Neurospora crassa OR74A: one gene and its partner. The protein of the gene in region 1 binds, or shares a complex with, the protein of each later gene. Links are inferred from orthologs where the notes say so. Each region holds a gene or a part of one and is shown in the gene's direction. Other genes may lie near its edges.

What was found.
Region 2: tim44 (region 1) and tim14 share a complex: the UniProt entries of both Schizosaccharomyces pombe proteins name them as parts of the PAM complex. The link is inferred for Neurospora crassa OR74A from reciprocal best matches to the Schizosaccharomyces pombe genes tim44 and tim14.

Annotation. Positions count from the first base shown.
Region 1 is NC_026501.1:4,980,558-4,991,773, reverse strand, and holds tim44 (mitochondrial inner membrane translocase subunit TIM44), read left to right. Parts: upstream 1-5,444; 5' UTR 5,445-5,647; coding exon 5,648-6,552; intron 6,553-6,602; coding exon 6,603-7,278; 3' UTR 7,279-7,829; downstream 7,830-11,216. Other genes in the region: NCU03232 (RNA binding protein Pym), read left to right, coding at 290-886; NCU03231 (mitochondrial chaperone BCS1), read right to left, coding at 2,310-3,731; NCU03230 (mitochondrial ribosomal protein subunit S18), read right to left, coding at 4,314-5,444. UniProt on the Schizosaccharomyces pombe protein: Essential component of the PAM complex, a complex required for the translocation of transit peptide-containing proteins from the inner membrane into the mitochondrial matrix in an ATP-dependent manner.
Region 2 is NC_026503.1:2,521,540-2,531,839, forward strand, and holds tim14 (mitochondrial import inner membrane translocase subunit tim-14), read left to right. Parts: upstream 1-5,599; 5' UTR 5,600-5,811; coding exon 5,812-5,862; intron 5,863-6,051; coding exon 6,052-6,179; intron 6,180-6,459; coding exon 6,460-6,598; 3' UTR 6,599-7,212; downstream 7,213-10,300. Other genes in the region: NCU00074 (hypothetical protein), read left to right, coding at 4,171-4,263, 4,377-4,835; qip (QDE-2-interacting protein), read right to left, coding at 7,455-7,629, 7,694-8,098, 8,174-8,917, 8,976-9,028, 9,084-9,509. UniProt on the Schizosaccharomyces pombe protein: Essential component of the PAM complex, a complex required for the translocation of transit peptide-containing proteins from the inner membrane into the mitochondrial matrix in an ATP-dependent manner.

The DNA of each region.
Region 1 (11,216 bases):
ACAAGCGTGCCAAGCTGCAAGCGGGATCAACCTCGAAGCCACAACGTCGTCCTCATTTTCCAATCTCTTGCTTCTTCCTACAAATTTACTGATTGACGTGTCCGACGGATGCGCATCAAACTGTGCGCATTACGAAAGCAACAATCTCGACACGCGAGGTTCGAGCTCCGGCGAATCAACCATTAAACATTTATACGAAACTCACTACTTCCGAATCGTCGAACGGCATCGCCGCAACCCTAGCCGAACCCCTCATCGAACATCAATAATCCCACCACAATCTTGAACCATGTCTCAGCCAACAAACTCCGGCATCATAACTGACAAAAACGGCGAGCGTGTCATCCCCGAGTCTAAGAGAGCCGACGGGAGTACCAGAAAAGCTATCAAAGTCCGCCCCGGCTACCGCCCGCCCGAGGATGTCGAGGTGTACAAGAACCGCACCGCCGAGGGCTTTCGCCAGCGCGGCAAAGGCCCAGTGCCGGGCGCAGAGGGATTGAAGGAGGACAAGTCGGACCAGCAGCTCAGTGCGGCGGCTAACAAAAATGCCAAACGTCGGGAAGCGCGCAAAAAAGCCAAGGCTGCTGGCGAAATAGAAGGCGAGGATCAGAAGACAGCTGTTGCAGCGGCCCCTGCACTCAAGCCAGAAGAGCTCGACCCGGAAGCCGAGAAGGAGAAGAAGGCCCGGAATGTAAAGAAGAAGCTTCGCCAGGCCAAGGAGCTGAAGGACAAGAAGGATGGTGGAGAGTCGTTGTTACCTGAACAGATCGCCAAGGTTATCAAGATCAACGAACTCATCCGGGAATTGGATGCCCTTGGTTTCGACTCTGAAGGGGAGCCAAAGACCGCAAAGGCTTCGTCTGAACCAAAAGAGGACTCGACCTGAAGCAGGAAAGTGACGATCGAGGATAAAGATCATGAGCATAGGTCCTGGCCGGCAATTGCTATGGCCAAGTTACAGAGACACTGCTCCGCCGGTCCAATTGATGCGCCACACTCGATTCACGACGATCCCTGAACAATCCTTCAGCATGAGCCTAAACTGGGAAGCCTTTCGACACTCTTTGACACTGCACGCCGACCTTTGAGCCTTCTGCCGCTCCGCGCGCCCGCGTTGAGGGCCTGGGGAGCATGGGGTAGCTGTATGAATATGCCATGACGGGAAGTGCTGCTGCTCTGAACGTTGCGATCGGGTAAAGGCGAATGGTCCAAGGCGAATGTCCAAGGCAAATTGTTAAGATGAAAGGGACGACGACGATAAAGAGTGATGGTTTCGAATGCTGCTGGCTGTACAGGGTCTGTACAGTCAATTTACAGTTCAAGACGAGAGGGATGTCGGATCCTGCCCTGCAGGGAAGGTGGGATCAGATAACAAGGAGGCAACGGCTTGGCGAAAGTCACGTTAAGCGTCCAACAGCAACTTGGAAATATGCGCCTGTACATGTACTGTCAGCTCTGACAGCGCATTTCGCCCAATAACCGTCGAGAGAAAGGTTCCGGTATAGTTCCGTTGTAGAGGTGTTTGGTCGGAATCATAAATAGAAGCTAGCTTTCTGTCCCTCTTTTCCAAGGTCTCCTTCAAGGTTCGACGTCACGATGCATCATCCTGGACGGCACTTCCTTATTGAGATGAAAAGACGAAAGGAAATAATGGTCATTCTTTGAACTAGAGGTCTACGGGCAGCATAGGTACGGTCACTATTACGAGTGTGGCATAGAAACATCCGTGGCGCTATATGCGTGAGCCCCGGTGGGAAAAGTTGGGCTTATATAGTGGGTTTGAAGGTCACAAAGGACTCGGAAGAAGTGAGGCGGATCTGGAAAGAGCGGAAATAAGATTTAAGCAGGAAGCAAGACCTAAACCACCAGTAGAGAAAAATCTTTGACTCCAAACAGCGTAATGATATAGAACATTGAAAAAGACGAACCTGGCTGTTCCACTTCAAGAGAATGTTGTAATCAAATTCATTGTGTAGGATGATTCGGGAAAGAAACCCTCTGCATGCCCTGTTATTTGACCCTTTCACTCCAGCGTGAGTAAAAGGGTCGTCTAGAAATACTATACACTTCTTCGAGCCCGCTAATCGAGTCAACCCTTCTCTCTTGATATGATATATTCACTTCCGAGAATAGGATGAACCATACATAACCTTAACATGACGACAATGATAGCAAAGCAGATTCAATACTTCATTCAAATTAGCATTCAAGACGGGTTGCTATAATGGGTATCATTCTTTTTGCTCCTGAACAATGTCTTGTTATACAGCTATTCGTACATGATTTCGTGCCAGGCCGTCCATCCTCGTTCATGCCGGAGACTTCATGCTGCCATCACTTGAAGGGTTTTCGGCCACAAAGGTCCGGGGAATCAAGCCTTCAGCCATTCTAATAGCACCTTCCATATCATTCTTGTTGAACTGGAACAGACCCTGGATAGCCGCCGTCGAGGTATGTCTCTTGGGAGCATCGGGGTCCTGGTTGTTCTCGCCAAAGAGTCCGAGCTCATCTAGCCTGTTGAGGAACCTTTCGCGGCCGGAATGGTCCGTGTCAATGTCACCATAGTAGCGATCCCACATCTCGGCAGCCTGGTGCCTGGTTGCCTCGCCAATGCGCATCATCATGTCGACACGGCCAGGGCGGATCAGGGCCGGGTCCAAGCGATCGATGTGGTTGGTGGTGAGGAAGGCTATCCGGTTTTCGCCGGCAGCCAAACCGTCTAGGGCATTGAGAAGACCGGAAAACGTCACTGTGCCGCCGCTGTAGCCATCAGAATCCCTCGGTCTCCGGTTGACGAGCGCAGCGTCGACATCTTCCAGAACCAAAATGCTCTTCTCAGGCTGCTGGGTCAACAGGTGAGCCAGCAAATCATCCGTGATGCCGACCTCGCTGAGGTTGATCATGGCAACGCTGTAATCCAACTCGCCCGCGAGCGCCTGGATAAAGGACGTTTTCCCAGTACCGGGCGGGCCATAGAGAAGGTAGCCACGACGGTAGGGCACGCCTCTGTCGGTGTACCACTGCTGGGCCGCCAAGAACTCCTTCACATCGTCTACGATGCTCTCTTTAACGCCCTTGTCGAGAATGACGCTACCAAGAGGCCGCTTGAGCCTGGGCTTGCCCAATGGCATCCACTCCATGCGCTTCGCCGTGTAGACGACCGTCTTGCCTTCGTGGAAGCGGTGCGCCATCTGGTGCGCCTCGGTGAAGATCTCGCCCAGCACATGTCGGTGCGGCCACAAGAGGGTGAGGGTCAGCGTCTCGTGCGGCTCGCCCGTTGCCGTCTGAGTCGTGCTCGCCTTCTCCCGGTTCACGGCGATGTACACGCCGGGTTTGTGCCGGATGATGTGGCGGCCAAAGCCGGGTTGCACGCGGAAATCTGCGTGCGAGCTTCCTTCGTCCTTGCCGGGGGTGATAGACTTGGTGGTGGTAGAGACGGAGAGGTTGCGGAGCCGCGTCAGTCGCTGGGCGATGAAGCCGGTGTTGTCTCGCGGCAGCGCCAGCCAGGCAAGGACCCAGTTATAGGAAGGATCACGCTTGCTGATCTCGACATTGACCAGCATCTGACGTTTCAGTAATCCGGCACCACGGATGGCAGCCCGGCGACCAAAGGCGGCGGCGGCGCCAAGGCCGGCGAGGCCCATGCCACCGGCGAAAACGGGATTGTTGAAGAGCACATCGAGGTTGAGAATTGATCCCGCTGTAAGCGGGGTTTGCGGATCGGTCGACATTGTGGTCGAAGTTCTCTATTCTACATGGCTTTGCGGAAGAGGTTGAAGGCCGAAAAGGGTCGGCAAGAATTGAGAGGGCTCCGGGTCGGATGAGGTCTGGGATAAGGTGGAATTCATCCGAATTTGGTTAATGTTCGACGTTTAGCTCCCGTCGCCGGGAGCCATGCCGACAATTGAAAATTTAAGTGGGTCCAACAGTACGGTTCTTGCCGGGCTGCCGGTACCTCTAGATTCCCAAGAGGGACGCTACAGTACAGTATCGGAACCAAGGTAATCCAACGATTCGGTGTTCCTCGCCGTGGTCTCCAATGCAATGGGACATCCGGAAGCTCATCCTTGGGCCATGTACAGCAACAAATACGCTCTCTGAGCCTCAAAGCACCCTTTTAAATGTCATAAGAAATGAAGAGAACAGAACCTGGAAGCGGATCGGCATGCGGTCCCCTTCCGGGTATCCTAACATGCAATTCAATGACAGATTCTTGTTTATACATGACATGTACACGACCGCCAGCCCATTGCTGCCAGCCAGGCTGTGACGGCTCCCCATCCAATTCTGTCCCCAAGACCAGCTGCACTCGCTTAACCCAAACGTCTGGGCTTCTTGCTCCTTGTACCACCGAACTTGAGGCGTGTGGCATCGCTGACACGTACGATGGAGCTGCGCAACATCCTTCCTTCGTTTCCAAGCAGAACCTTGATGACCGCCTCTCTGCCAGGGCCGAATCCTCGTAAGACCACCTCCATCTTCTTGATCTTATTGTGCAAGTTCATCTGATGCATCTTGTCTACCACGTAGGCGCCCAACTGATATGCCGAGTCGTAGTGTTTGCGGTTAGACTTCTTGAAGCCAAGGTTGCCGCACGAAAGGGATATGAGAGCGTCGCGGTTTGGCTTGGTGACGGTAATGTGAGTGTTGTGCTTGTGCGAGTAGATGTGGAAGTGGTATGGCTCGTCCTCGGTATCCCTCAATCCAATGTTGGTTGCAAGCTTGTCACCGGTCAAATCGGTGGGATCTGCGGCCATGCCGACAATGCCCCGAGTCAAAGACTCCATCAACTTGGCTGAGCTTTCGGAATCGGCGTCCCTCCTGGCGGCGGTCTGTGAGAACGCCCGCGTCCATACTGGCGTGGCGCTGGGGAAAACGGGCTTGTTGAAGGCCTGGAAGAGGTTCTGCGCCAGAAGGCGGCCGGTAGAGAAGCGGCTCATCTTTGCTGGCCAAATGCTCCTCGGAGCTGTCGCGACGGTGGGGTGGACGACAAAGGAAAAGTGACCTTGAATGAGCTGGTGGAAGAGCAGTTGCGCACACAATGCCGGAGTTGGGGGAAGCGAGTCGTACAGGTAGTGGAGAGACCGTGGCTCCGTGGTGCGCGGTGCGCGTGCGAATGCCGTGAGTGGGTGGCTCCCGTCCCGTTCGCCGACCGGAAGTTCAAAGGTCCTCGAAATTTTGAGTGGATGGCCGCGGGGCAGGCAACGCAAGCGGCACCGCTGCAGAATCAAGGGCGACCATGAAACCGGTCGGCGGTGGGGCAGGCACTTTTCTTGGCATTGGTAACAAGGGTGAGCCGACAGCGGGGGACTGAACGAAATGTTCTGGGGCAGTTTTGGAGCAGTTTTGCGGCCGAGCGGGGGCAAAGAAGCCAAAAGATTTCGGGGGACCCTCGGTGTCCAGCCGACCAATTCAGCGCGTATTGGATCGATTTGCCCGGCCATTGGCGTTGCAGCAGAATTTCCACCGATCCATTTTCCATTAGCTTGCGCGCAAATTCTAAGTTCTGTCCTCGGCCCTTGCAAGATTGCCCTCCGTCCGCCAACTTTACGCACTCCACTCCCGTGCTTCGACTTGTTGTCTGCATCAGCTTGAAGGCTCCGTCTCCCAGGTTTTTCCGCAGGACGGTCCAGCTGGGATAGCAAACATGAACGCATATAGGCATGTCCTAAGGACGTCGCCGGGGGCTCCGTTGAGAGCCACGGCCGTTCCTCATACCACCCATGTCAGGTCACCGGCGACCAGCCGGCTCTTGTCCAGCCGCGCTTCCCGTGTCAACACCACCGAAAGTCGCATCTCTCCCGCCACGCCCATCTCCGCGCAGGAGATTCCTCTACTAAGGTCGCCTTTTACCCCTAACGCGATACAAGCCCGCTCGTTCCACGCCTCGTTCCGCGCGCTGCAGCAACAGGAGCAGCCTAAGCAGCAAACGCCAGAGACCGAACCCAAGGCGCAAGAAGAGCCCACTGGAAAGAAAGAGTCCAAGTCTGAAGAAGCAAAGGAGGAGGGCGAGAAGTCAGAGGGTGAGCCCAAGAAGGAAAAGAAGGAGGATGCGCCGCCTCCACCTCCCCACGGTGACAAGACTCCCTGGCAGGTCTTCATGGAGACCATGCAGACCGAGTTCAAGCAGTCTCAGGAATGGAACGAGTCGACCAAGGCATTGGCCGCCTCCGCCAACCAGATCGCAGAGAGCGAGGCCATTCGCCGTGCACGACAGGCGTACGAAGCCACCTCTGGTACTGTTTCCTCTACGGCTGGCAAGGTTGTCAAGACCACCGCGACTGCCGTCGGCAAGGGTGCTCAGTGGACTTGGGAGACGCCAGTGATGAAGGGAGTGCGTAAGGGCGCCAACATCACCGGAGAGGTTCTGGACAAGGCAACGAAGCCTATCCGCGAGACTGAGGCTTACAAGAACGTGAAGGACGTCATCGATGACGGAAGCAGCTCCAGATATGGCGGCTGGGCTGAGAAGGAGGAACGTAGGAAACGCAGAGAGAAGTGGCTGAAGGAGTCAGCTGGCAAAGGCCCTCAGATCCTTGAGGAGGATCCCAAGTAAGAACAAGCCCTGCGGACATATCTGGTCGATTTGCTAACTGTTGCAGTGCCGGAACCAACGTCACTCTCCACAAAGATGCCGCTTGGAAGGAGGCATGGAGGGATTTCCGCGACTCCAACAAGTTCGTCCAGAATGTTTTCGGCTTGAAGACCGTCTACGAGGAGTCGGAAAACCCCCTCATCTCCACTGCTAGGAGTATCACCGACAAGATTGGCAGTTTCTTCGCCGAAAACGAGACCGCTCAGGTCATCAAGAAGCTTCGCGAATTGGACCCCGGCTTCAACATGGAGAATTTCCTTATGGAGTTGCGCGAGTACATCCTTCCTGAAGTCCTCGAGGCGTACGTCAAGGGTGATGTTGAAACACTGAAGCTCTGGCTCTCGGAGGCCCAGTACTCCGTCTATGAGGCTTTGACCAAGCAGTATCTCCAGGCTGGTCTCAAGTCCGACGGACGCATTCTCGACATCCGTGGTGTTGATGTTCTCAAGGCGCGGATGCTTGAGCCTGGCGACATTCCTGTTTTCGTCATCACTTGCAGGACTCAAGAAGTTCACGTTTACAAGAACGCCAAGACTGGAAAGTTGGCGGCCGGTATGGAGGACAAGGTTCAGCTTGTGACCTACGCCATTGGCATTACTCGTATTCCTGAGGATGTCAACAACCCCGAGACCAGGGGTTGGAGATTGATCGAGATGCAGAAGAGCGGGCGTGATTACATCTAAGCCCGCATTTTTTCCAACGAGCGTGTCTTTTAAGGTGAAGGAGCACGCTTTTGCCACATCACCACTCGGCGTCGAGCGCTTGTTTATGTTCACTACACTATTATCGGTTGCGGCAACCAAGAATAAATGTATCATACCAAAACTGGGATCTGGTCGCATGGGGGCCATTGGGAGTTTCGGAATCTTCGTCGCACATGTATAGAAAGGCAGGCTACGGAGCGGGCGCCTTGAGCATTTCCAGCATAAACACACCACTCTGAATAAGGGCATACGGATCAAAGATTGGTGCCATGACGAAATGGTCACACTGTACAATATAATAGCGGGACTGAGGGCAGTCACAAAAGAGCTGTGGAGCGAAACAGATATAGGCGTTTTGAAGCGATACCCGCTTTTGTACAGAACAATGACATTGGTTCTTTGGATAGGACGTTGGTATCGATCCTCTGCCTGTGCTTGAATCATCTCCCCCCTCCCGAGCCTCCTCCGTTGGTCTGTTTTAAGCTGATTAACCGCCTCCAATGGCCTATAGTGCTTGAAACGAATTTCATTAGGCAATCATACACCAAGGTACCGTGCGAATGTAGAACATAACTGAGACTTGGTGTCGTTAATTCTCTCGATTCACCCGATCTCACATGTGATAAGCCCCAGTACATTGATCGAGACAGTCAAGTGACCGGATCTCAGCAAGACAAAAACACGCGCACGCCGAAAGAAAATTCTCCAAACAAAAATTCAAAAATCAAGGCATCTGGTACAATGTTGATGCAACAAAAACCAAATAGCTTTCTGAGACTCAAAAAGTCAAAAGAATTGGATGCACCGCGGATCGAACGCGGGACCGTCTGTAGAGCAAGATAGAAATTTCAATGCAAAACAGAAATCATACCACTAGACCATGCACCCATGGTTATTAGGCTGTAACCCACTGATACCCTATATTGTATGAGCACAATTCTATCCTCAAGCGGCACCATATGCTTGCCATTTGCGCCTCATAAACCAGCGCTTTTCTCGGCAGCATTCAACATCAACTGTCTACCTACACACAATTCTTGAGGTGGTCTGCGTCGCGTCTGTCCCACCCGACTCGCATACCTATGCTACACAGCTCAGGTACGGGGCCGAAGGGCGCGGCAGGTATTGTCTCTGGTCTCGCGATGCTTGACGATGATCTCTCCTGGGACCGGAACCCGTGGGCTTGCAATTAGAAGCCCATCATTGCCGGTCATTCATGTACGCCGCCTCCCTCCTATGAACGTTGTGTTGCCACACAATGCCCATACCCATTCCCATCTGGCACGAGTGTCGTTCCAAGCTGGGAGTAGGGCAACGCCATTATGCGCTTCGTCACTACTATTTACGGGGTCTGACGAATCGTTGATCTCGAGCGGTCTGGACTGATTGATGGCTTATATGAAGCATTCAAGAAAGCCGTTTCAGTCGCAGGCCATGCAAATAAGAACACCGGTGATAGTGCCTAGATGAAAGAGATAGCCCACGATGGCAGGACCGAATAGGACCGAGCCGGACAGAAACCAAAGTCGAGATTATTCGGATCACCGCCGACGCCAAGGCCGGCGTCGGGGTGGAGCACGCGGAGCCGAAAACGACACTCCGAACCGGATCAAGCTTTTGACAGCGAGTTTCTCTCGTTTTGTTGAGAATTACCATAGGCGTGTTGTCTGAGACTCCATTGACGGGCCGGTCGAGCACCGTCTCAAACACTGCAACACAGCGAAGCGGAAGTTTGCTTGGGACGACAGTTCGACAGGGTTTAATGGGTAACTGTCTTCCCTGCTGTGCACCAATTGCATACTCGGTGCAACGCGAAAAGGATGCTTGCCGTCCTACTTCTTATCGCATCGACTCCAGGCTCCTAGTCTTGGCCAAGAGGATACACGTCCTCCCTACATTCAACGCGAAGCATCGACAAAGCAGGGGATAACCATATGCCGTCATTGTCATGTTGCTTGTTGAAGCACGACAATCTGCCACATGGAGCGATTATTGTTACTCTTGCATACTCGCTGGCAATGTAGCAATGGAGATCCATAGGACTGCTCTCGTTGCTTCTCCTTCCGTTTTCTGTGCGGGCCTTTCTCCGGCGGTCAGACTGTCTCAGTCTAGATTGACCAAGGTCAGAAATACCTATCGGAATGTATGATTCGGATGGTCCCGAACCCGTCTCATGGAGTCAACAGCACAAATTTTGTCATTGTGTTGATCAAAAATGTGACGACAGATGCTCACTGAGACTATTATATGCTTGGCGGAAATAACAGGGGTCAATTCGCAAGAGCAACAAGCATCCCAACCTCAAAGGCGCCACTAAAACTATGCTGGAGGTCAGGAAGAAGGAAAAAGAGAATACGGCCATACCTACCAAGAGCTAACAAGTCCCGTCGTTCGAGCATGGCCTCACAAGGCTCTCCTGCATTCAAGTCTGAAGACTCTGCCAATTTGTGTGTCGACGCCCACATTGGGCCTGCCTAGGGTCCTTTGCACACCGTCTCTTTCTTTTCACGCGAAGCATGCCAGCTGGGAAGCGTAAGACACAACGGGCTGCTCCATCCCACCAGACGCCTCCATGTCCGACCCACGAGATGGTGTGGAACAAGAGCTTAGATGCCGCCGGGTTGGCTTAGTTGTGTAACGTACAATAACGTTGTGTCTTTCTTTCTTTCTTTCTTTTGGCTAGTTGTCCCAACACCATCCTGTCATATTCTCCTACTCGTTCGCGACGTGGCGGTATTCTTCTCTGGTTGCGCTACTCATGGTCAGCCTTTCCTGCTTCTGATGTCTTCGCAACAAACCGCCTTATTTCCAATTGTCAGATACCATGCATACTCCCACACATCCGCCGACTCTTCCTCTCCTCTTTGTACAATAAGCCAGTCTTCATTTATGCCGACCCCTTAGTTCAACATCTTCCGATATCGAAGGACAAGCTAGGCTTGGACGTACACGACATCAAACAGCTTCCCAACTTTCAAGTTTGCGCATTGCAAGCTTACAGAGGATCCGGCGTGGTACATTCATAGTACGCATTGGGACAACACATTTAAGGCGTTTTTTGTGTCAAGCAGGCATAGTGAGGGCTTCATTTCTGCTGCGCTCTGTAACACATTATGCTCGTTGTTAGCTCCAGGTCGGCAAGGAGAACCGACTTATAAGTGGCTTGTCCCGCATGTATGGCAAGGTTCAAAGAGTCATCGATAACTCTCTAGATCCGAGCGGCTCGACGAGGCTTGAAAACCCAAGGAATCATCGACGTCAGCCCAAAAACAACAAGACATACGGATATAAACGTGCTACCAGACAGAAAGGATCACTCTAGGAGGCACCAGCAACTGTTACAACAACACAGAACACGTGGAAACGAAGCCACCACCAGAAGAAACGAGCAGCGCCCTAGGACAAGCTAGTAATCTTCCAGTTTGACAGGAATCAGATCACAGACAAGGCTGGACTTTTGCCATCTCTCTTGGGCCTATTTTTTGCGAAGAAAGCATGGGTATGAGCAGTTTCCCAAACAGACATTTGGTTTGATCAGCTCAAAAGCCTGGAACAGAGGATAGCCCAGTTTGTTTTCAGCTGAGGAAACAGTGGTTGGTCAAAGTTGGGAGTAGTTGTGTGCCAGGACCATTCAGGTGTCTAGTGTACTCTCATCAAGACAGCAAAAAGGTACAACGGCCAGAACCCTCAAGGGCATATATCCGCCGCTTCGCGTTTCGTCAGCTAGACAGGCAGCCACGGGAACTTTGCCTACCATTGATCACAGCCGTTGGGAGTTGGGAGGACTCCTCAATTACATCACTGCCCCTGGTGCCTCTGGCTCAGCTGTTGAAGTCACCCTTGCCTTCCTCAAACTCAGCCTTGCAGCAGGATTACCGAAATTTAGAGGCGTGCCTTCCCTCTCAACCAGCTGTTGT
Region 2 (10,300 bases), on another chromosome or scaffold:
CCTGTACAAATCTGCCCTCTGCCCGGCACTCAAAGAGGGACAGAATGATTGCTTGTTTCCCGAATTTCTGTTTATGATATGTACCCTGTAAGCTTGTGTCTAGGATTACACTGTGCAGGACTGTCAGGCGGCATTGTGTCGATACTAGATTCACCCCTAACCCGGCCTAAGCCAACTGAACATCCACGCTCCCTGTTCATGCTGTACTGCGTACATCGCGCGTTGTGCGGCCAGGTACTGGACATCAGGAAGCCAAGATACTGGCACATCCGCGGTTTGATGAGGAAAGCCCCTTCAACATCTCATCCAAAATAACCATCTCAGCTCAGCAAGCTACTAGACTAAAGCATTGCTGGGCTACCAACTCCCTAGGTACCTAGATGAGAACTGGAAGGCATCGACGACAGGTCCACTGCCACATCATAAATGACTTAGAGCAGGTACATCATAACTTACTGTACCTACCTCTAAACGTCTTTCACTCCAACAAAAGTCCTCATCAATCTCACGTCTCACCCTGTTCAGCTCGTCCAATCACCCAACTTGATCATTGGGAGAAATACCCGTCCCAAAAGAGCAGAACAGTCTCAAGTGGGCCGTTGAAACCAACCATCGGAATGACGAGATCGCCAAGGAAGGAAACCCTACTGTATTTCCCCTAGCTTTCTTGCTTCCCCAGATTTTTGGAGAATTAAGCTACCGTTTGGTCTGTCCTGGGCTTTTCCACCTGTCACATCTCCTCCTCTGACTTTCCAGTAACCATTCTGGACCTGGCTCAAGAATGGAGAGAAAATGAGCTGAGCGGAGCTTCGTGGATGGACCCAGCGAGTGACGGAACGGAGTTTCTAGCAGGCTCTCTCGGGTTTAGACTACACTCCCAACCGATGCTAACCCGGTGAAAGTCATTTTTTCCCCCTTGCAAGAAGACCCAGTGTTGGGGATTTGGGGTTCCGATGCCCCAATTCGAGACCATTCGGGATTTGAGCCGCAAGACATGCATGCCAAACTCGAAACTTGTCCAAGAGGAAAGAGAGGGGCAAAAAAAAAAGGCAGAGCTCATGATAACATGGAGGGAAGCTCCATCTTATTGATACCTAACAAGACGACATTGATAGCCGACATCCAACCATTTCTCAACATCGTCAAAAGTGCCCCCGGGCTTTCTGGTTGAAGGAGACCCTAATACAGTTAAAACCCCTGTTGATACAAAGCAAATCCCCCTCTTTTGCAAAGGATTTCGACTGCCCGCACCCCCCTCTGATGTAAAAACTATAACGTGCAATTGCAACGGTTAGTGGTCTGAAATTGTATTGACAGGGGTCTGATTTTGGTAGCAGGGCATACTTGTACCTGTATACCGGTGGGTCTGGTCACTTCATCAGACCTACACTACTTTTAAGGCTTCGCGGCGGTCGTCCAGTGGCAAAAAAACCTCTGCCTGTTTAGCCCATCAGGCTAAGGCACAGATCATCAGGACGGGCAGGGCAAAGAGTGGGTAAGTTGGGCAAGCTGGACGATATCCAACTGGCTCGCATGGAGGTGAGGTAAGGCTGCAGTGGGACAGATTGACAATTCCCAGTCACAGTTATTTGTTTATTTATGTTTTTTTCGTTGAATTTCTCCGTGTCGGATTCTGAAGAGGCTTTAAGGTTTTGTTGGGCCATCGGAAAGAGTACTATGTACATTGAAGTTTACTATGCTCTTCATTCCAATATGGTTCGCCTTTTCGGACGACACCTACCTTCTATCTATGTAGCCTATCCGCTGACCAACAGAATATGTACCATTTTCGAGATTGTCCGTCACCTGCCTTCGAGCCAGATGCCGCCCAACGTCACCTGCATTCGACGTAAGGGACGCGCTGCCAGCCAGGCCTCGAGACTGTCTAAAATACACCCATGAGCACACGAGGTGAAAACGGGCTACAGTGTCCGTCACATTTCTTCTCACGAAAGATACTCACACACTACAAGATCCAAAGAAAGAAAGAAAGGCATGTGCCACGGATTGTGCTCTGTAACCCTTTGGAAGCGGCACAGTAATTGCAAAAAGGCAGGTCACCAGCAGCATAAATGTACAAGATATTCATGTATCAATTGCGAAACAGCTGGGGATGTGGTCTCTCTTCTGCGACGTTCCTCGCTCGCGTGGAACGATCCACGAAATGACGTTGAATAGCGGAAACCGACGGGACAGTCTGACCAAGTACATGGTTGAACTTCCCTAGCAAGGATTCCAAGAAAGGCAGACACACGACAAGTGGAGGCCCAGTTCCCATCCGATCCCTCCGGTCCCGGCCGGGAAATGGCGGGCTTTGTAGAGACACTTCTGAAAGTCTGACTCCGTCCTTGGATTCAGTGTTTTGACGGCGAAGTCTCCCGTGGGTCATATGTGCTGAAATATTCCGTCAATGATGGGGCACTGGAATTCCTCACGGACCGGCGGGCAGTGGAAGCCTTATTCGGCAGACGATGGTTCCGTTTTTATGAAAACATGTGACGAGATCGGCGGCTTAGTCGCCGGCTGTTTGATATGATCGGGGTCGGATTTAAGTGTAAAAGAAAAAAAAAAATTGGACTTCGAAGTTGGCTTTTGCGATCCTCTGCTACTTCCCCGTTTATACCTAATCTGTTGAGTTTGTTAGGTAGGTCGATCGGGGTCAGTACAGAGTTCGCAACGTCTTAATGATCGGTGTTCACACCTATCCATTCAAGGAGGAGCATTCTATTCTAGGCATTGTACACGTACCTTGACAAGAGTTCGTCCTCTACTTCTGTGCACCTCACCAATCAACGCTGGAAGTGAGAAGGACTCCTTTCTACCCCGCACGTTTTTACGGTGGAACAGTTGACGGTGTTCATCAAATTCGGCTTCAGGCATCACACCGAAAAAAAAAAAAAAAAAAAAAAAAAAAAAAAAAAACCGGTGAGTTGGCTCGACCGCGCTGGAGAAGGATACGCAAGTTGAACATCTAACTCCAGATCACTGATGGGACCTTTGTGGAAAAGACGGTACCAGCACGGGATGCGTGACAAACTTGCAGTTCATTATCTGATAACAAAAGCTTGAGATCAAGAAGTATCTGTGGTCGGCTTGTACCTGCATCAATACCAGCGCAGCAGGGGTCTAGGCTTATTGATATTCTCGCGCCCTGGGCCGTTGCTGGATGCATAACCGGAGGTGTAGGCATGGTATATAGTACTGGCCTGGACAAGCCCGCAGCATCCTTTCAAAAGAACGAAGTTCTCAGAATGGAACATGGAGAGAGGAAGAGGGGTGGTATAAAGGAAATCCATGGAACTTGTGCTTTCGCAACGGTCGACGGGAACCGGGAGGTGCCGAAGCCATCATGTAGTCTAGTGTAGATACTTTACTTGATCGACATAACCAACCCGAGGCGGACCACTGTTTGGATCTGCGGTACCCTGACAGCCAGACATGAAGATTGAGGCCACAATGTTGAATACTCATTCGTAGTGAAGTCGAGTAGTGATACTTGTAAAGGATAGCTACATCTACCGAGTGGCATGGCGCTGTTGGCCGTAGCTCCTATGTATTCGTACGAGCATCACGCGAAATGGCTGTGGCAGTCTAGCAGAGAGGGAATGGGCCTGACCGGACCAAGCCTTGACGATAATAACAAGGAGTACCTACGTAGTTTGTGGTCCCGGCTTAACTTCCTCGGGCTGTTGATGACACTCCAAGGAGGCCTCTGGCACTCTAATTAGAAGTTTGGAGATGAGTAAGACGGATTGGTTACGTGTGGCATTGGCAATGTCATGGGATGCATGTGTTAATGTGAAAAATCAACAACCCCGCAATAAAGTCCCCTACATGTACACAAGCAATTGGATGTTCCCGGCGGGTGTGCGCCGTCTTCAATCGGATCAGCGTTGCCTCCCTGAAACTCGTCAACCTGGCCGCGACATAACAAACAAGGTTTTTTTTTTTTTTTTTTTTTTTTCTCTCGTCAAGAACCAAGCTTACTTCACGCTACTTACTCCTACCCTTTTGTTGTCTAAGGACTCCTGTTGGCCTGTTGCTGCTGCTGCTGTTGTTGGGCGTTGAACCTACCAGTCGTGCTTACGTACCTTTCCCTACCTACCTACCTACCACTCGCCCTTTTATCTTTTACTTGGTTACCAGTCGTTCTCGTCGCGCGGACTCGAAATGTCATCGGAAGTCTTCCGCAGAGTGGGCCGCGGAGGTGCGGGCAATTGGTATAGTAAAAAGGACATTGAGGATGCCGAGAAGGCGGCTGCTGTGAGTGTACCCATCCATTGCACACACGAAATCGGACAAACACTTCTCCTTTGATCCGCCTGTGCCTCGGCTGTCTTTTCGTATTGTTCGCCATTCTCAAACCAACCCCACAGGATCTCGAAGCGCAAAAGAAGTCTTCTTCCGGTTCTACCTCGCCAACAACCCTCGAGCGCTCCATCACCGCACAAACCAGTCTCAGCAGCTCGCGAGCCGGTGGTCGCGGCGGCGCCGGCAACTTCTACGACGCCTCGGCAACCGACGCGGCCGCCGCCCAGCAGCAGGAGGAGGAGAAGGAGGCCGAGCTCGAGGAGCTGACGCGCGTCGTGACGGCGAGCATCCAGCGGCCGAACCTCTCCGGCCGGCTGAGCGGGCGTGGCGGCGCGGGCAACTACAACGATAACGCGGCGCGAAGCGCCCAGCATCGACTGGACCCAGAGCAGCAGCGCAAGATGATAGAGGATCTTAACGCGAGGGTGTTGCAGGATGTGGAGGCCGGGCTGGCAATGCCGAGACCGGCGTATCATGCCAAGTTTGAGCTAAAGCATGAGAGGTTGGTGTCTGCTGAGCCTTGAGACGTACCCTTGATGATGAGGGTCTGCGTAAAAAAGGTGGATGAAGGGATATGTGTGATGAGATGGGTGGTCATGGTTCTGGTTCTGTTCACGTTTCGTTGGGTTGGTCAAAAGGGAGTTTGGGAAAGAGATGGAAAACGATGCACAAGCAAACCCATGCACATCGCTACAATCGGGAAGTAGGAGGAACCGATTGGTATGCTGTGTAATGGGCAATGATACCCCCTTTAGTCCCCTCAAGCAGGCAAGTTTTGAGCGGGCTCTGGATTACGACACCGTCAGACTGACGGGAAGAAGCAGGGCTGTTTACCGATAGCCAAAAATTTGCGATGGAGGCCTTGTTAACGACGTTTATGTATGTTTATCATTTTCGGATCTTGATCATCCGTTAGGTGGAGTTGACGCAAAGCATTCACTTCCACGGAAGCGGCATCAATCTCGACATTGACGTGCGGGCAGTCCGCACAAGTTATCGGCTCAGCATACGAATTGTATAAGCTGGTTGAGCGATAGTTGACAACATGTAGCAGGTGTGAGCGGACGGCGACGATAGTGATGATAGTCTATGATGTGTGTAACGAAGCGTTGCCTATGCGCTAAGCGAGTCCGAGCCTCTGTTAGTCGCATATTCACCTCCCAACGCTTGGCAGCGCTCAAGGTGCCCGCCATTGCCTGCCGTAACACGCGCGGCAAACCCGATAACGCCCGCCATAAAGGGCTGATACGTTGCCGCTGCCGGCAAAAAAGTTCGCTTAAACAACGGACAAACCTCGCCGTCCCGTCCTCGCATCACCGAACTCCATCCATCCCATTCTACCCGTGTATCCGTACATCGATACGCCGGCCCGCCCAAGATCAACCCACCCGCACTTGATCACTGACGACAGCCTCAACTGAGCATCAGTCCCCGGACGACGTCAACATCAACCGACTCCCATAAACCCAATACAACCCAAACCCAACCCGCACAATCACAATGTCGTCAGCAGTAGCTATTGGCGCCGGCGTCGCCGTCGCCGCTTTCCTGGTGAGTCCTACTCCCATCGCTCGCGAATGGATCCCGCACCGGCAGGCATCACACTTTAATCACTGTCTCTACCATCACTCAACAACAAAAAAAGCCACTGGAAACAGATGTCATGCCTGAGCCACGTCGTTGTTGATCATGGAAGAGGAAAGAATAAGAATCAGCTAACCTTCCTACCAACAAAAACAGGGCCGCGCAGGTCTCGTAGCATGGCGCCGCTCGCGCGGCGGCGTTGGCGCCCTCGGCAAGGCTTTCTACAAGGGTGGTTTCGAGCCGCGGATGAACAAGAAGGAGGCTTCGTTGATTCTCTCGCTCAAGTATGTCTTGTTCAGTCCGCCTTGTCGTTGTCCGTTGTCGCTCCTGTGTCGTTGTGCCCATCCATTCCATGCCTCTTTCTTCCCTTTCTTGCTTCGTCCCTCATGGCCTGCCTGCCTGCCTGCCTGCCCGGCCACGAACCTCTTTGTCTCATACATTCATCCATCCGTTGCTCCGTCCTACCCATCATCACACACACCCGCATCTACATAGCGTTCCACCTTTCGGAGTCAGCCCCATGAATCGAAAGGGAACCAGTAACTAACACTTACCCTCCAACAGTGAGCGCACCATCACGAAGGACAAGATTCGCAAGGCCCATCGCACCCTCATGCTCCTCAACCACCCCGATCGTGGCGGCAGCCCGTATCTGGCCACCAAGGTCAACGAGGCTAAGGAGTTCCTTGAAAAGAGCGTCTAGGTTCCATTTTGATTGATCTCGTTGACCGATCAATCTGTTCGGTCCAATCCGTCTCGATGCAGTGCAACGCCATGCGAGGCGATTAATTTGATCGATCTCGACGATGGAACTGTGAGAGGCGAGTCTAGAGTCTCTTGGAGGTCTTACACAGACGAACAATACAGATTGACATCCTTACACCACTCTCCAACTCCAGCTCGAGTTTGTCTGTTACGACGATACCAGTGTCGCCTCAGTGGGCTGAGTGGTTGGGGTATGCAGCTCCGGCTACGGTAGTCGTCAAACACTGCTAGCGGAACACTGCGGTACTCGATTACAAGCAGCATCTCGTCAAGCCTGAGCCGCGAGACAGGACAGAGTTCGATCAGAAAGCACCTACGCCATGATGATACGGCCTGCTACTACACATTGGCCTCAGACAAGCTCCTTACCCTATTCTTGTACAACAAAAACACACATATGGTTCTTCATAGCACTGGCGTTGACGGGTTTTTGGCTTTGCGGGTGGCTTGGATGGAAAAAAAGTAGGAGGCTTTTGTACGCTTTGCACAACTTGAATAACATACCCATGTAAAAATATTAGCACCAATACGATTATTGTGTTCTGTGCCACATGGACTGAATAGTTTAGCGGTTCTCCTTTTCACTGTATACACGCCGTAGACTAGATGATGCGCGTTACAACATTGCCAGATGCTGGTTTGATGCTCGCTTTGGCTGGAGTGCAGCCCTTTTCACCTTTTCTTGCCTGCCTGTGCCCCTTTGCCTTGCTTCGACTCCAGTTTATCAGCTAACTTTTCCCAGGTACACCTACGCCCTGGGCAGTGGTGGTGGAAATATGGTAGTCTCATAGCCATTACAACTCCCAGTTTTCACACACAGTAGTCTCAACGACGGAGTTAGGGACGGTGCTCGCCGCCATCACCAAGCTTGGTTCGCCACCATCAGACAGCTCCCCGGTGCTGATCCAACCCTCATCGACGTCCTCCTTCGTCGCGGTGAATTCAGAGTAAGTAACGTAACCATCGTTACTAAAAGAAACATGATTATATCAGCACTTCGTCCGGCCTGTGGCCTTTCTTCTTGAAGACTTACCTCGTATTCGCCTTTGAAGCCTTCGCAGCAGCCCTCTCCAAGCTCTTCTGCCGCATGTCAATGGCCAAGCCCATCATGGCCTGAAGAGTGTAGACCGCGTCATTTCCAGCGTTGTGCATGTTCTTCCACGGAATGTCGAGGTAGCCACAAACATTCGAAAGTTTGGAGGCGTTGTTCGAACGGCTGAGATACTGGTACATCTCTCGAGTGTCTACCACCTCCAAAATGTTGTCCGCGCTGGCCACATCATAGCCAAGCATGCGAATGTATTTGAGATCTTGAGATTGGTCGTGGAATACAAGGACCACGGGGCGCTTTGCTCCCTCACCACCGATGGAGGACTCTCCCTCGATGGTCTCCTTCAGAACGCTGGCGATCTTCGCGACCTCGATGAACTCGCTCTCGCTGGACATTGTTAGTAATTCGGTTTCGGATTTGGGGCAGGGACAGGGCAAGGATGAGGGATGAGATCACACATACCCAAAGTCAAAGTATTCGGCGCGGCCTTGGACATGCCTGGAGTTTTGGGCCCACGAAAACTCCTTGACGCGAATATGTCGTGCTTTGATGAAGTCGAACCAGTTCTTGCTGCCTTCACCAGGAGCAACATTTGTGATCTCCGCGGTATCAAGAATTGCCAGGCCGACCTCGGTGATGATGCTTTGGTCCAGTTCATAAGCCTCAAGGTCAATCGCCACAAACACGACAGACTTCTCCGGCTGGATGCCAGTAGGCTGGGTGAGATCCAGCGGGGTATATGATGACACTTCCGGGTCAGATAAAACTCTGCGGCGAAGACCGAGATACCGCTGAACCCTCTTGATATTTTTTCCCCAGGCGCGGTGAAGATTGCTTCGCTTGTACTGGTTGTTCTTGGTCTTCTTGCTCTTGTCTTGGATTGAAAAGATGCTGTTCAAGCGGCGTGTGAGCTCCTGCTTGGCAAGGAAAGGAGCATTTTCCGACGTGTCTCCGGGCTTACGCGCCGGGACGTTGTTCGTAAGCTGCTTCCATTCCTCGGCAGATCTGGAACGGCCAAGGAATCGCGGTTTCGCTGTATTACTCTGCCCAAATGGCATGGCGAACATGTCTTGATGTCCGCGAGGAAACGTGAACTCTACGTCAAGTTTTCTGTTTATGACGTCGAGTAGGTGCTGCATCTGGTAGGTTGGGACGAAGATCAAGGGATTATTGTTCCCCTCGTTGGACGGCCGGTAGAGGTAGAATCTGGAGCGTGTTAACACAGTGTCGTGGACTCAACCCCGATAAGACCTCAACCTCTTACAGATCCCATATGCGGTTTTCGTGTAGGCTCTCGAGCGTAAAAAGAGGCCGAGCCTTGGGAACGAACTGTTAGCGTCACACTCATCCATACTGCGATGATGGGTCTCACCCTCGCGCCGTTGCGCTTGCCAACAAACAGGTTGGGATACTCCAGAACCATTCTCCAGGGAGTAAAGAGTTCTGTAATGGGATCGATCTCGCCCTGCTCCACGCTGACTTCTGGCCAGCTGATGTTCTCCAAGTCCGAAGCATCGCGGTACTCTTCCTGCTCGTCGGTCACGTCCTCAATGCGCAAGGAGGTAGGGCCAGTATGGTGAGGGCGAGTAGCAGGTTTGACGTTAAAGGGATCCAGATGGCGGGCGCTCAGGATAGAAGCGTCGGATGCATAATTGTCGTCCTCATCACCCTGGGCGTCATCACTAATGTCCCAGTCATTGATGTCTTCGTCGCGCCACTTCGAAGGATCGAATCCGCTCCAGTCCACAGTCTGGCAGGTAAGGTTCCGCAGCTGTTGCATGAACTGCTCGTCCTCCATGGTGGCGAGCGATAGTTCGGTTAGGAGTGACTAAGAGATCAGTTAGCCTTGGACATGAAGTCGACGCCGGCGATTCTAATCTTGGATCTGGTGATGTCTCTCGGGTGTGGTGATAGGGCCAGCAATATGAGGGGGCGGCTGATCTGGAGAGGGACGTTTTCGGCAAATGGAGATCTCAGCCTAGGTGTCTCTGCTACGATATTCCACTTACGTGTCGTAGGGTAGGATGCGAAATGAAGGGAAGAAAAAAGCGTCGCTTGAACGAAGTGGGCTCGCGCGCAGTCGTAGGGCGGTTGTCGTTGCTGGGCGGAGGGCTTGCGCGAAAGCGATTGTCCGGGAGGGAATAGATATTTCGGAGAAGAGGTGAGCGAGGGAAATATAAATAGTCCTTAGGCAGACACAATGGAAGTGAATGGGAAGCCCTGGATAGTGGCCAAACTTCTCATCCGAAAACCTATTTTGTTCAGATGGTCAGTTGATGAAACGGATTTAGGCTCCTTAATTCTTCAAGTGAATAATGGTCTTGAGCAGTACTTACAACCAACGCGGAAGGTGCGAGTGAGCGGGCGCGTCAGTGGGAGGCTCCCAACAGGACACTAGAAAGGGACGAAAATGGAAGGAGCGATCACAGATAAGTGAACAGAATCGCAACTACCCGTTGAGGTGGTGACGATTTGAGGTACGGTATGAGGCCTACAGGTGCCCCACTGTAGAGTTCACAAAGGACGGAACAATAAGTAAGTGTTGAATTAAAGGACCCCACTTGGCAAAGAGGAGAAATGGGCAATTCC